Sus scrofa: one gene and its partner. The main gene of each other region encodes a partner of the protein of the gene in region 2 in a complex. Links are inferred from orthologs where the notes say so. Each region holds a gene or a part of one and is shown on either strand. Other genes may lie near its edges.

Region 1 (7,516 bases), on a different chromosome or scaffold from region 2:
CAAATCTTTTTCTTCTTTGGATATTGCTATATTGCCTCTATTGACTTTGCTCTAGAATGCTTTCCTTTGTGCTAAGATAATAAAGGCTTTGATTAGAGTGTAAATACCTTCCAAAAGGGGGCAATAAATGGCATTATTTGTAGAAATTAACACCGTGAAATGACTTATCAAATTAGCCAGTCACCAAGCAGAGACTTGAAAGAATGGGACGCAGGGGGAAGAGAGAAAAATATTTCCAACACAACAGACAACTGGGGAAGTGAACTTGGAGAGGAAGAGCAGAGCAGACACTAGGAGGTAAAGAATGAGTAGGGCTCTAGGGAAGGCAATGGCATGAGAGAGGGGTGGAAAGGTGGCTTCAAAGAGGAATGAGAGGACCAGTGCCCATCTGGCAATCCTGCATAGCATCACATGTGTCCATAAGAGGAGCTAGAACAAGCTCTGGGAGATTGAAATCAAGAGGCAAAAGTCCTCTAGAAAGTCCTTTCCCCTCCCCTGTACTCGTTTTCTCATCTCTAAATTGGAAATAATCTACCTTTCCTGAATACCACCATAGGATTGATATGGGGGCCAAAAGAAGTAATAGGCTGAAAATTGCTTTGTAAACTGTAAAGCACCAGGGAAGCATAGGATTACTATTATTACCATATACTTATTGAAGGAAATGAGAGAATTTTGTTCAATTCATGCAGAAAATAGAAGAATGGTCTCTAGACCAAAAAAAAAAAAAAAAAAAAAAAAGAGTTCCCATTGTGGTGCAGTGGAAACAAATCCGACTAGGAACCACGAGGTTTCCGGTCCAATCCCTGGCCTCACTCAGCGGGTTGCCGTGAGCTGTGGTGTGGGTTGCAGACATGGCTCGGATCTGGAGTTGCTGTGGCTGTGGCGTAGGCCAACAACTACAGATCCGATTGGACCCCTAGCCTGGGAACCTCCATATGCCGTGGGTGTGGCCCTAAAAAGACAAAAAGCCAAAAAAAAAAAAAAAAAAAGGACAAGATTCCATTCCATTCATATTTGCATCATGTGACAAATCAACTTGGAGAGGGAGAGGGCATCTAAGCAAAGTGCTTTCCAACACTGGAATTACATGCAAATAAAATGAAACTGCATTCGTGAAGCAAGGCCCTCTCTCTTACATTTAATGGTAAGGCTTCCTGAATCATCCCTCTTTCCCTTCTGTGGCTTCTGAATTTGGTGAGCCAATGTTGAAAAGCTGAGGATGGACAAGGATAGGTGTAATATATACACTTCTTCCAAAGGTTTTTTGCAGGGAGACTGAGGATCAGGGAGGAAGACTGGGCACTCTGCCAATTTTAGCAGTATTCTGTAAATATTTCCCTAACATTCCAATTGTGTAGTTAAGAGATGTTAGATATCATCTGCCCCAACTGCCAAACTTACGTATCTCCAAAAAACGTGTATATGAGGAACCAGCTATTCTAAGGTTATTACATCGCAAGCTAGTGGCAGAGCTAAGACTCCAATCTAGGCTTTGTAAATTCTCAAAAGGTGTTTAGACTATAGTATGTTCTCCCCCTCTACTAGAATTCAGGCAAGGATGCTAAAAACTTAGATTAGAATTTGGGAAGAAAGACCCTGTAGAATCTCACACCAACCCTCTCTACATCATCTCCCATTGCTTTACCCACATTCTTTCTCATGCAGCTAAACTCACTGCTCCTAAGCCTCAGGTCCCTAGTCTTAGCCTCCCCTGGGGAAATCTCAGCCTTAAGTCCTCAAGACAGGTGAGGTCATTGGCAACCTATTATGTCTGCTTTATCTTCAGGTCTGGTCTACTCTACTGGGGATGGATGGCGGTGAGTCTGCCTTTGGGACTGGCATTACTCTCCCCCTTTGTCCTTCCCAGCCTGTCTCATCGGCATTTTGTTCAACAGGAAGCTTGGCTCTGCTTCTGGTCACATGCAAAATCCAGATAATGCTGGCAACCATAGTTAGTCCTGGAGGCTTAATAAAGTGATACTAAGGTAAAGAGGCGATTCAAATCTGATCAGCATATCTGCCACTGCACTGGCATACTAAGTTCCATGCCAACCATAGAACACATCCCCAGTTTTAATAAGGCAGGTATGCACACTCACATCTAATTATCCTGGTTTTTTATTTTTAGCATAGAGGAAGGTAGCTAAGATTATGTAAAGCAATATATCAAATATATTTGACCTGAGGATCTAATCAAAGTCACCAAGACTGAGATGCCCAGAACTACACAAATACACACCACACACACACACACACACACACACACACACACACACACACACAGTACTACATCCTCATCAATCCATTTCGATGCCTATACTAACATGCTCAGACATACACTAGCACACACATTCAAACACTGAGGGATACACAGTAAAGCATTTTCTCAATCGCATATTCAGACATACATGTAGACTCATTAACTCCCACTACACACATGCAGGCACCCCACTCCAAGCCCATCTCTAATACCACTCTGCTCAGCCTTACTGTTACAAGTATAGGACTCCCTTATTTGGAGAGAGAAGGTCACCTCACCCCTTCACGGCAGACAAACAAAAACCTATTTATTGCTGAAGGCAAAAAAAAAAAAAAAAAAAAAAAAACCAGCTCCCCAAACACCAAAGCACCTTAGCTCCACATGTTTAGGAAAAAGAAGATACAATTCTCAGGTGCCTATATATCTAATATGTAGCTGCAAATGGCTGAAACCTGTTTCCCTTATTAAAATTAAACAGGTAGATCAACAACTATTTCCACTCTCAAAATACATGCCTCTGGTTTTTTAATACATAAAAATTAATTTGAAGCTCCAATGACTCCACATTAAGAAACGAAATTAATTGCAACCAAGATTTTTTTATAATGAACGTGATTGCATTCTCTTTCAGCAAAGAGAAAGGGAAAGAATACTTTGGAATTAACAGGAACAGGAGGAAGGGTGGAAAAACCACCAAGGGAGGTTTAGGAATAAAGCAGCAGGGCACTGGGGAGGCCTTTTTCCCATCTCAAAATCCCAGCTCTCATGGAACCCCTCTGGATCCCATGTCTGGCAGACATGCACAGAGGGAAGCCAACCAGGCTCCTTTTTTTGTCACCAACGACATCAGTGTTATTCTTGTTAGCATTATTACTGTTACCTGCATGTCGCATGGCAGGGTGCCAGTACTTACCCCACAAGATGAGCACGAGGGAAGCCAGGGGAAACAAGCTGTTGAAGGCAGGCATCTTCTTCGGCAGGTGGCTTCCTGGGCTAAACAGAGAGATTCCCTGGGTCAACAACTGCTCCCTCTCGGATACTTTCGAGGAAACCCTCTGGGACGAACTGCCCCAAGGGGGCGACTTTCTGACTGAAATAATGGCCAAGTGCCGGTGACCGGGGAAGCTCTGCGGGCTTCTTGAGCCGGGCGGGGGTTTCAGCTCCAAGCCACCCTACAGACCGCCCTCATTCGAGGGAGCCGATCAGCAGCTTGGCGCGCCTCTCTCCCTGGAGCCCGTTGCTGGGATCCGGCTCAGCACCACGGACAGTACCTTCCCCGCCCACCCCGGAACTTCCAATTCAGTTGCTCCGCTGCTTCTCTTGTTTGCGCCTCGGGGAAAGCTCAGCTCCGAAGTGAGCAGCAGGCCGGCTCTAGGAGGCTGGGCTGTCGAAGGGGTCCATGTTGATCCACCTCTCACCTCCCTACGAATAGCTACGCTCCGACCTTGGATCCACCCAGACCCGGGAGCTCCAGCTTCCTCCGCCCTAGCCGGCTTCTCCAGCTGGGCGTGCCCTCACACCCGAAGCCTCCGGGGCCGCCGTCTGAGCTATAAAATTCGTTCCCGTCCACACCCGCTGAGGCTTCCCGGGGAGGTCCGGAGGGGCCGGGAAGGAGGAGGAAGCTCCTGTTTGGCTGGCGATTTCAGAGGTGGGGCGGTGGGGTGGGGGTGGGCCCCTTTCCCGGAGCTCCCGGGAATCGAGCCGGGGCCCCGACCCTGTGTGGCTAGTGACCAGCTGCCCTTCCTCCAGGCCCCCTTGACCGTGTATGCTCTGTCAGCCTTGACATGCGCAGGCGGTTCTCCACCCCCACAGCCACCACAGACCCACCCCCTCGTGCAACACTCCCCACCCCCAAACAGGCGTGCCCCTCCCAGGGCCGATTCCGGCTGCCGAGCTGGGGGCGGAGCTCTGAGCGGCGCAAACACCTCAGCCCCCGAGATTTCTCTGCTTGCGGGCTGTCTCCAGGTCTCCCTGTCACATCTCACACCTCTCCTCTCAACACGGGCACGCCTCCTCCCACCAATTCACCACTCCTGCTCCTCTACAGACATGCTCGCCTCCAGCTCCGGGAAGAGGAGGGCCGAATCTCTTTCAGGCAATGATGTCATCTGCAATGTACACTGTACATGGCTCCCAGATTCTCTCCCCCGACCCCATCCCCTCCTGTTCTCCGGGTATATCCTTTGTCTAGCCTTGATTAATTGGTTCTGGGCGCACTGAACGCAGAAAAATAATATCTGCTTAGAAGTGGGGTAGGAGTGCGGCACACCTGTTTCCACGTTCACCTCCTCACCCGGTGAGGTGAATTAAATATCAGTGCAACACTTGGAGGTGGGAAACTCCCTCTTGAGCTAATCACTTTTTTTTTAAAGTTTAAAAACATGCTGTGGTTTGGTTTCTTCCAACCATTAGCCTCACCCTAGTGCCTAGCAGCTGTTTCAATGCCCCACCCCATCTCTGGCAGGGAAACCTGACCCTTTAAATTTAGTTATTAACTCAAATTGACATAATAGATTAGGAATGCCTGGAACTGAAGTGAAAGATTAATACAAGAACTTCTCCCTTCTCATTCCCTACTGCTCCCTTTCCAAAAGGGGAAGTTTGACACTGATATACCAAAAAAGAACAGCAGAGAACAGCTGACTGTAAGTGAACCATCCTCAGGAAATTCTCTCTCCTAATATGTCACAGAGCAACTGAATGTCCTTCTTCCTGGGCAGGGAGCCACCAGGCCATAAACTCTATGTTTCTTTGAAGACCGAAGAATCACAGTGTGTTAGACTTGGGTGAGAAGTTAAAAGTCGACTTAATTCAACTTCCTTTGCAATTCTTGAATCCTCCAAGGACATTCCTGATACACATGCTCGGCCTTTGTCAGTGATGAGAGCTTACTACCTCAGGAGTCAGTCCCTTCTAATGTTTAAAAACGTTCTTTATATTCCATCAAATTCTGTACACTCCTCCTTCCTCCGCAAACTCCATTAAGTTGTCCGCAAACTGTTTTCCTTAAAACAGCTATGCTTGGGAGTTCTCATCATGGCTCAGCAGAAACGAATCTGACTAGTATCCAGGAGGATGAGGGTTCGATCCCTGGCCTTGCTCAGTGGATTAAGGATACGGCGTTGCCATGAGCTGTGGTGTACAGGTTGCAGACATGGCTCGGATCTGGCGTTGCTGTGGCTGCGGTGTAGGCCAGTGGCTGCAGCTCCAATTCGACCTAGCCTGGGAAACCTCCATGTGCCATGGGAGCAGCCCTAAAAAGACAAAAAAGAGAGAGAGAGAGAACACTATGCTTTCCCCACACCCCACTCCAGACTTTTTGGGGGAGCTAAGCTTCATAAGTTTCTTCCAGCATATTTCTTAGTTGTTTCCAACCCTCAACTCCCTGGCACTTTCTCGGAAGGATTTTTAGTTTGTCTGCATGGTTCTCCAAGTGACATCCAGAACAGGAGCTAATGCTTCCTGTGGAGGACTGACCAGCATAAATCCAGAGGAATCATGGCCACACTTGCCTATGTCTCTTCAGCCACATTTGCCATAGCTCACTTATAATGAGCTACGGTCAATTAAAATCCTTAAGTATTTTTCACTCAACCTGTTGCTAAGTCATCCTGTACTTATACAGGGAATCTTGGGAGAAAACCTCTGTAATTACTGCTGTTAAAATGTATTAGTTTTAACCAATTATCACCTGCTAGTAACACTTGTATTGAATGTAGATTTAATCATCTGACATCTCTAGTTTTGTTTTATTTCTGGCTTGATGATCACTTGACCCAAATATAGATATATATTTTTTAATGGACAGAAAAAACAAAGACGAGTTCTTTAGCATGGTTTTAGAGACCTCACTCTAGTTTGACTAATTAGACAAATAAATACCCAAGCAAATCTCCCTACTTTTTCCTCCCTCACACATTCTGAAAATTGAAAACAAGGGGTATATATGAGACGAATTAGACTTATAATGATCCAGAGGAGAGGTAGGATCTAAGGTTTATATTTATACAGAAACAGATTTTCATCAATATATTTCAAGTTATTCCAAACTAGAATGAATTACCATTTATTCTGTTCAAGTAGTTGTTATCCAAAGAATTAATGGGCTGTTGTAGAAAAAAAAAATTCTGTAGGTTAGAAAGTAGGAATAGATTATTGATAAAGTTCCAATCATCTTTGAGATTCTATGATTTTATTGAAAGCCTCACCCAAATACAAAGAATGATATATTTTCAGTCTGGTAATTCTATCAACCACTACACTACTGCAGCAGGAACTAGCTTAATCTTACATGTTTTTCTTATGCCTATTTGTGCCGATTGTCTTTCATCACAGTGTTCTTCTCTAAATGTTTACAAACCCCATTTTATACAGTCACTTTGAGAACCTTACATGAGATTTTAAGAACAATGTACTTGCTTCTAGTTTGCGTAAACCGCTTCCCCTGTCTCTCCTCTATTGAAAACAGGAGCATTTGGTCTTTTCAGTCTTCTGACATTTCCTTTGATTTTTGGCAGTAACGTTCAGTCACTTTCACAAGTACCTTAAGTTCCCTAAAGTACATCTGGCTTTGTTCTGAGAGGTTTTAACTCATTTGAATTAAGTTACTCTTTCCTCTTTCTTTCTGCCATTTCGATTTCAATCCTTTTTTGCTCTTGTTGGTTTTTTTTGGGTTTTTTTGGAGGGGGCTGTTGTTATTTGTTTGACTTTGGGGCTTTTTTTTAACCTTTTCCAATTTGATGATTATCTTCCCCTTAGAGTTGATAGTGAAACTTAGTTTCTACTCTATAAACAGTAGCCAGACACGCTCTGTATTCCAAGATATCATGCACCTTTCTTGCTTAAAGCTCTTCAATAGCATCTCACTGAATAATAAACTAGTAAAATCTAGAATCCTCATTGTGGTCTAGCAAGGCCTGCTCTGAGCCCTGCCTATCTCTTGACACTCATGTCTACCATTCTCTGTCTTGTCCACAATGTTCTGGTTACACTTGACTTTTAAAAAATGTACCTCAAACTTATCAAGTTCTTTCCCATAATAGAGCCTTTGCACCAGACCTGCCCTCTACCCAGAATGCTCTTCATTCTATGGCTGGTTTCTTATCATTCTGGTCTTGCCTCAAGTGACTTTTTCTCAGACACACTTTCTAAACTTCCTACCCACTTCCCACACCTGAAGCTACTCTCTATCTCATTACCCACTTTTTGGCTCTTCCCTTCTTCTCTCACTATCCATAATTATCTTATTTTACA
Region 2 (6,938 bases):
GAGCCTAAATGAAAAAACTTTAATGTAAGGCTCATTTTAAAATGTTCTTCTTAGGGAGTTTCTGTTGTGGTTTAGCAGACACGAACCCTACTAGTATCCATGAGGACGCAGGTTCCATTCCTGGCCTGGCTCAGTGGGCTAAGGATCTGGTGTTGACTGTGAACTGTGGTATAAGTCACAGATGCAGCTCGGATCCTGCATTGCTGTGGCCATAAGCTGGTAGCTACAGCTCTGATTCGACTCCTAGCCTGGGAACTCCCATATACCACAGGTGTGGCCCTAAAAAGCAAAATAAAATAAAATAAAATATTCTTATTATACAAAGTTACAAACCTAATTTACCAAAGAAAAAGAACCAAAGTTTAGTGTGGTTAACAGGTTAGATTTATTATTTTCTTTAGTATCTAAAAAGTAGAATATATTGTAAGACTTTGTTAAAAATAATTCTTTACATAGTTTTTGGGAGGTTAATGGCAAATGATTTCAATTAAAAGATACAATTTTCAAACTAAAATCAGTTCATAATCTTTATGGAATTTACAGAAGCAAGTTAAGTTTAAATATTTGAAGCAGTTTCCACATCAAAGCATTTCCAAGAAATAGAAAACTGAGAAGCTTAGATAAAGCACTGGCTCTTACCATGCCCCTAAATTAGTACTGACTCCTCACTGGTCTCCAACACATGATGGAGAAGGGGAGGAGAGAAGGAAGGAACACTTATTGAAAGAAACAGAACCCTGAAATTACATTTGCTTGGGGGGGGGGTCCCCAAAGGCATCTTGGTCAGGTTAATACATTTCTGAGCAGCAGAAATAGATTATAATAGTTAAGGCTCAATCGGGATCATGCATTCATAATAAAATACAATTGCTGATATTTAAGTGATACTGAATGTCATACAACATATTTAAAACGTCATTTAAGTCAAGAGTATATATATTTTCTTTTTGAATCCTTTAGGACTTTGTAGGCACATTGAAATCAATCTTAATACAAATGGAAGAAATATCAGAATCTCAGACTACAGGGATGCAAGTGACTGCATTTTTATGCTTTCTTCATATTTGTGCCTATCCTTAAGAAACAATTTTACTAGTGAAAATTAATGTTTAGGACTTTAAAAATTTTCAAACATAAAACTTTTTACAGAGTTATTATGTACGTGATAAAAACAAACCAACAAAAAAAACTTGGAAAAATAAATCAGTGCAAACTAATTTGCATTCACTAACGTTATAAAACACCACAACCAATAAACTCACACTTTGATCTCCTATTTGAGTCCACATAGTTTTAGTGATCACTTTTTTCTCAAAGTTATAAAAAAAAATAAAGTACAGTGAAAAGTACTTTAAAGAGGCCACTGTTTCCCAATGAGAAATAAGAAAATTTAAAAAATGTAGACCATAACTATAGTTTCCTCTATGCTGATTATTGTAGGAATCCATTCTGTTAAAGAGCTGGACCTTAGCTGGAACTAGCCAAAGATAAGAAACCACAATGAAAAATGAAACAACCTTAATCCACAGTTATCAAAAAGAAAATAAAACAAAAGCAATCAGAAACAGAACTTAAGCTCTAATTAATCTTTTTCAAAAGTGGTTTGAATCACCCCAAGAGTCTGTGTGACTGATCTCCAAGGCACTTTCTAAGAACTGTATTTCTTCTTCCCCTGATTGCCATCTGTTTAGGCAAATTTATGATTTAATGGCTGGTAGCACTGTACAATTTTTTTTTTAAACACCACCCCACATTAAGAAAGTACTTGTTTATTTGGAACTTAAGTCCTATCAGTGGTGACTTGAATCTATCAAGTTAAAGCAGACATAAAATATATAAGAAAGTCCTTTTGCTACTAATTGCAGCCACTACCTCCCCCATCCTCCAGAAGAAGTGCATATCATGTAAGCCATACAGAGAAAACAAGCACTGGGTTATCAAATGACAATTTTAACCCAGTTTAACTCTCCAGTGATAGTAAGGGGTTGTCTTGGCTAGACTGAATATACAGAGGTAAAAGTGAACTGGGCATGGGATCTTGTGAGTACAAGATTATCTGCTATGGGTTGTAAACAATTGATTATTAAGTAAAATATTTTCTTTCTCTGATCTTTGCTTTTATTTCTGATTTAAATTTTTAACATTTGCAGGATATGCAAAGAAGGTGAAAAGATAGTGTGGGATTAGATTTGACTTTGAATTGTTGCCTTTCCCTCAGCCTTTTCAAAATCAGAATCTTCTTTGATAATCTGGACTTCCTTGTCATTGTCTATCACATGACTGTCTGGTGTGTTTCTGTCATTTTGCCTCAAACGGTAACTTTTATAAGCACGTTGAATGATAGTTGCTGAGACTGCCTCTTGTTTTCGTTTCAGAGTAGTTGTAATTGGCTCATATGTGATCTTAAAAGGGTTGGCTAACATAAACCCTGATTCTATCTCTGAAAGAACTTTCTCCATCTTCACATCTTTATCCATAACTCGCTTTGTTAAAGCAAGTAAGACATCAAGGCAATGAATTCTGTCCCCAACAGCCATGGGAAGATCCATGGCAACGAGTTGGCCCTTGTTTGGTTTTGCCATGAAAAGAGGAGGATCAAGAGCAGCTGCAAAATCGGAAAGCTTGCTAGAGTCTATATACTGGGTTCTATCAGGATCATACCTCTTCCATACCTGAAAGAATTTCCTAAAATCATCTTCACTCAATGTCTTGGCTTTTTTTTTAGAAGCAATATTTAAAAACTCCATGACAGCAACAATGTACATGTTTATAATGATCAGCCATGATATGAGGATATAACTGACAAAATAAATAATCCCAACTGTGGGGTTACCACAGTCTCCTCTAACCTGAGTCCCAGGATTAATTTTATCAGGATCACAGTCAGACCATTTGCTGTTGAAAATTGCATCAAGCATTTGATCCCAACCAGAAAATACTGTAACTTGGAAAAGACAGAGCATACTGCTGCCAAAGGTTTCAAAGTTGGACACATCATTAATTCCACCTCCCTTTTTAACATAGGCAAAACTGTACATTCCGAAGATGGCGTAGACAAACATGACCAGGAAGATGAGAAGACTGATGTTCAACAATGCGGGGAGTGACAGCATCAAAGGAAGCAGCAGATCATGGAACATCTTTGGTCCTTTCTCAGGACGCAGGATGTGGATGATCCGTGAGAGAAGTATCAGTTGCACAAGGGAAGGAGGTACAAGGTAATATCCTACCGTCAGAGGCAGAAATAGTCCTGGATAGAGGGAAAGCAGGCCATATAATTATTTAGAGGAATATAAATTATTTCACATTTCATTGGTTTTGTCCTATATGCTAAAGTAATCTTATTAATCCTTCCAATATAACATTTAGCACATATGAAAGTTTGGGATAGCCAAATACTAACTGTGGCAATGCTCAGAGTATCTAGCAAAATTTGGAAGGGAATTATTTCTACCATCATTTTAAGAGTATTATCAGTCAAGCACTTCAGGAATCACAGATAGAATGAATCCATAATATAGAACAGTAGTCATATTTTTCTGATTGCAGTTAGATCAAGAAATTTATTTCAACCCAAGCTTTATTGGATACTTAATGAAAGTGTCATGAAAATATGCTAAGATGAATAACATGACTCCTGTCTGCAGAGACCATATAATATAAAGAGTAGAAGTATACATATAAGCTAATTATAATGCAAGACAGACACTGTATGCAGATGACATGATACTATACACAGAAAACCCTAAGGACTTAACCCCAAAACTACTTGAACTGATTAATAAATTCAGCAAAGTAGCAGGATATAAGATTAACATTCAGAAGTCAGTTGCATTTCTGTATACCAGCAATGAAATATTAGAAAAGGAATACAAAAATACGATACCTTTTAAAATTGTACCTCACAAAATCAAATACCTCGGAATACACCTGACCAAGGAGGTAAAGGACCTATATGCCGAGAACTATAAAACCTTAATCAAAGAAATCAAAGAAGATGTAAAGAAATGGAAAGATATTCCATGTTCCTGGATTGGGAAAATCAATATTGTAAAAATGGCCATACTACCCAAAGCAATCTACAGATTCAATGCAATCCCTATCAAATTACCCATGGCATTGTTCACAGAACTAGAACAAACAATCCAAACATTTATATGGAACAACAAAAGACCTAGAATCGCCAAAGCAATCCTGAGAAACAAAAACCAAGCAGGAGGCATAACTCTCCCAGACTTCAAGAAATACTACAAAGCCACAGTCATCAAAACAGTGTGGTACTGGTATCAAAACAGACAGACAGACCAATGGAACAGAATAGAGAATCCGGAAATAAACCCTGACACCTATGGTCAATTAATCTTTGACAAGGGAGGCAAGAACATAAAACGGGAAAAAGAAAGTCTATTCAGCAAGCATTGCTGGGAAACCTGGACAGCAACATGCAGAGCAATGAAACTAGAACACACCCTCACACCATGCACAAAAATAAACTCCAAATGGCTGAAAGACTTAAATATACGACAGGACACCATCAAACTCCTAGAAGAAAACATAGGCAAAACACTCTCTGACATCAACATCATGAATATTTTCTCAGGTCAGTCTCCCAAAGCAACAGAAATTAGAGCAAAAATAAACCCATGGGACCTCATCAAACTGAAAAGCTTTTGCACAGCAAAGGAAACCCAAAAGAAAACAAAAAGACAACTTTCAGAATGGGAGAAAACAGTTTCAAATGATGCAACTGACAAGGGCTTAATCTCTAGAATATATAAACAACTTATACAACCCAACAGCAAAAAAGCCAATCAATCAATGGAAAAATGGGCAAAAGACCTGAATAGACATTTCTCCAAAGAAGATATACAGATGGCCAACAAACACATGAAAAAATGCTCCACATCGCGGATTATAAGAGAAATGCAAATCAAAACTACCATGAGATACCACCTCACACCAGTCAGAATGGCCATCATTAATAAATTCACAAATAACAAGTGCTGGAGGGGCTGTGGAGAAAAGGGAACCCTCCTGCACTGTTGGTGGGAATGTAAACTGGTACAGCCACTATGGAGAACAGTTTGGACATACCTTAGAAATCTATACATAGAACTTCCATATGACCCCGCAATCCCACTCCTGGGCATCTATCCGGACAAAACTCTACTTAAAAGAGATGCATGCACCCGCATGTTCATTGCAGCCCTATTCACAATAGCCAGGACATGGAAACAACCCAAATGTCCATCGACAGATGATTGGATTCGGAAGAGCTGGTATATATACACAACGGAATACTACTCAGCCATAAAAAAGAATGCCATAATGCCATTTGCAGCAACATGGATGGAACTAGAGAATCTCATCCTGAGTGAAATGAGCCAGAAAGACAAAGACAAATACCATATGATATCACTTATAACTGGAATCTAATATCCAGCACAAATGAACATCTCCTCAGAAAAGAAAATCATGGACTTGGAGAAGAGACTTGTGGCTGCCTGATGGGAGGGGGAGGGAGTGGGAGGGATCGGGAGCTTGGGCTTATCAGACACAACTTAGAATAGATTTACAAGGAGATCCCTGCTGAATAGCATTGAGAACTTTGTCTAGATACTCATGTTGCAACAGAAGAAAGGGTGGGGGAAAAATGTAATTGTAATGTATACATATAAGGATAACCTGACCCCCTTGCTGTACAGTGGGAAAATAAAAAAAAATATAAAAAAAATAATGCAAGACAGACTTGTTGATAAATGTAATTACAAAAATATTTGGCATTCAGTGATTCACAGGTTGTAATTTAACTTATTTAGTCCACAAATAGTTTCTGGGCCCTTAGGAGCTTTAAATATGAATTGAATAAGTTAGTCTTTGCCTAGAACTTTTCTTTTTGGCAGTGTAGAATGGGGGGAACTATGGGAATGAGATAACGAACACAAGGTGAAATTGTAGTTAATAAAAAAAAAATAAGGGATGCTCTCTGGAAGTGCTGAAGATTGTGTGTCACATTTTGAGTTGAGAAGGTGGAGGAGGGGAAAATCCCATGAAGCTTCTAAATGAGATGGTAAGTTTGTTGAATCTGAAAGGTTCATGTCTCACATTTCTGTTAATTCAGTCACTGTCAATTGTCAATGATGGCATTCTCTCTGATGTTCTATCTTATGGATATCCTCATTTCCACAGTGCTTTAGCAAACCTTATGCTCTGACTCAAATTTTCTTTTCTCCTCAATCTTCCAAAGTCTTCCATCATGAAGGAGGTTTCCCCATTTAATTGTAAACATGTTTTAACTTCCTCACCTCTAAATTTTCTTCATAGCCTTTCTTACCTAAAATCTGACTCTATCTTGAGGATACTATTTCCCTAGCAAATACTCTTTAAGCACAGACAGCTCATTTTTTCCCATTCCATAGTTCTCAAGATAGAAAGATAAAGCAAGCATTTTTCTTTCCTTCCAATGTGATTTCCAGATAATTTTATAAAGAAAAAAGAAAGAAATCTTTGACAGTTTGTAGATCATGCCATTCAACTATACCATCTCCTATCATTCCTCAGCTCTGTGATCTATTCATTCCTCCTCATTTATATTCACTGGAGACTTTAGCACATGGCTTACCTTCACCCTTTCCATCCGAGCACCTACCATCCACAACCCATTGAAAGGCTAATCATTCAGTCTTTGGCTTTCCTAACTTTAGTAATCTCCATCATTTTACTTTAGTCATACCCATCTATGGCCACATGCTGGACCCAGGGTACCTGACCTTCTGAGATCCCAAATTCAAACAACTTTGTCTTGTACTGCAATTTCCTCTCCTTCCAGATGTCAGTAACTCTCACTTCAATCTCATAGGGCTCTTTAATTCCATTTTCCTCTGTTTTCTTCCTATCGGCCTTTTCTCGACTTTTTCTACTTTTCTAGCAAGTTTCTT

Evidence for each region. The genes of interacting proteins can lie anywhere in the genome.
Region 1: the proteins of SCN7A (region 2) and SCN3B are in contact, whole or in part, in a cryo-EM structure (PDB 7TJ9), measured with the Homo sapiens proteins. The link is inferred for Sus scrofa from reciprocal best matches to the Homo sapiens genes SCN7A and SCN3B. Residues at the interface, in NP_002967.2 of Homo sapiens: Arg269, Glu293, Tyr296, Leu298, Glu299, Leu305, Gln315, Cys316, Pro317, Glu318, Gly319, Tyr320, Asn922, Ile923, Thr926, Cys927, Lys929, Ile930, Phe939, Ile956, Tyr957, Asp959, Gln960, Ile966, Tyr970, Met973, Ile974, Tyr977, Ile978, Leu981; in NP_001035241.1 of Homo sapiens: Val25, Cys26, Val27, Glu28, Val29, Arg44, Ile46, Lys50, Arg51, Glu52, Glu53, Val54, Asn95, Gly96, Ser97, Asp99, Gln101, Asp102, Phe126, Phe128, Ala130, His131, Pro133, Val135, Thr154, Ser155, Ser158, Glu159, Met162, Leu165.

What each region holds. Positions count from the first base shown.
Region 1 is NC_010451.4:50,527,969-50,535,484, forward strand, and holds the start of SCN3B (sodium channel subunit beta-3), read right to left. Parts: upstream 4,465-7,516; 5' UTR 4,251-4,464; exon of another isoform or gene 4,113-4,250; intron 4,078-4,112; exon of another isoform or gene 3,257-4,077; 5' UTR 3,232-3,256; coding exon 3,177-3,231; intron 1-3,176. UniProt on the Homo sapiens protein: Regulatory subunit of multiple voltage-gated sodium (Nav) channels directly mediating the depolarization of excitable membranes.
Region 2 is NC_010457.5:72,944,919-72,951,856, forward strand, and holds the end of SCN7A (sodium channel protein type 7 subunit alpha), read right to left. Parts: intron 3,251-6,938; coding exon 2,184-3,250; 3' UTR 1,229-2,183; downstream 1-1,228. UniProt on the Homo sapiens protein: Sodium leak channel functioning as an osmosensor regulating sodium ion levels in various tissues and organs. While most sodium channels are voltage-gated, SCN7A is not and lets sodium flow through membrane along its concentration gradient.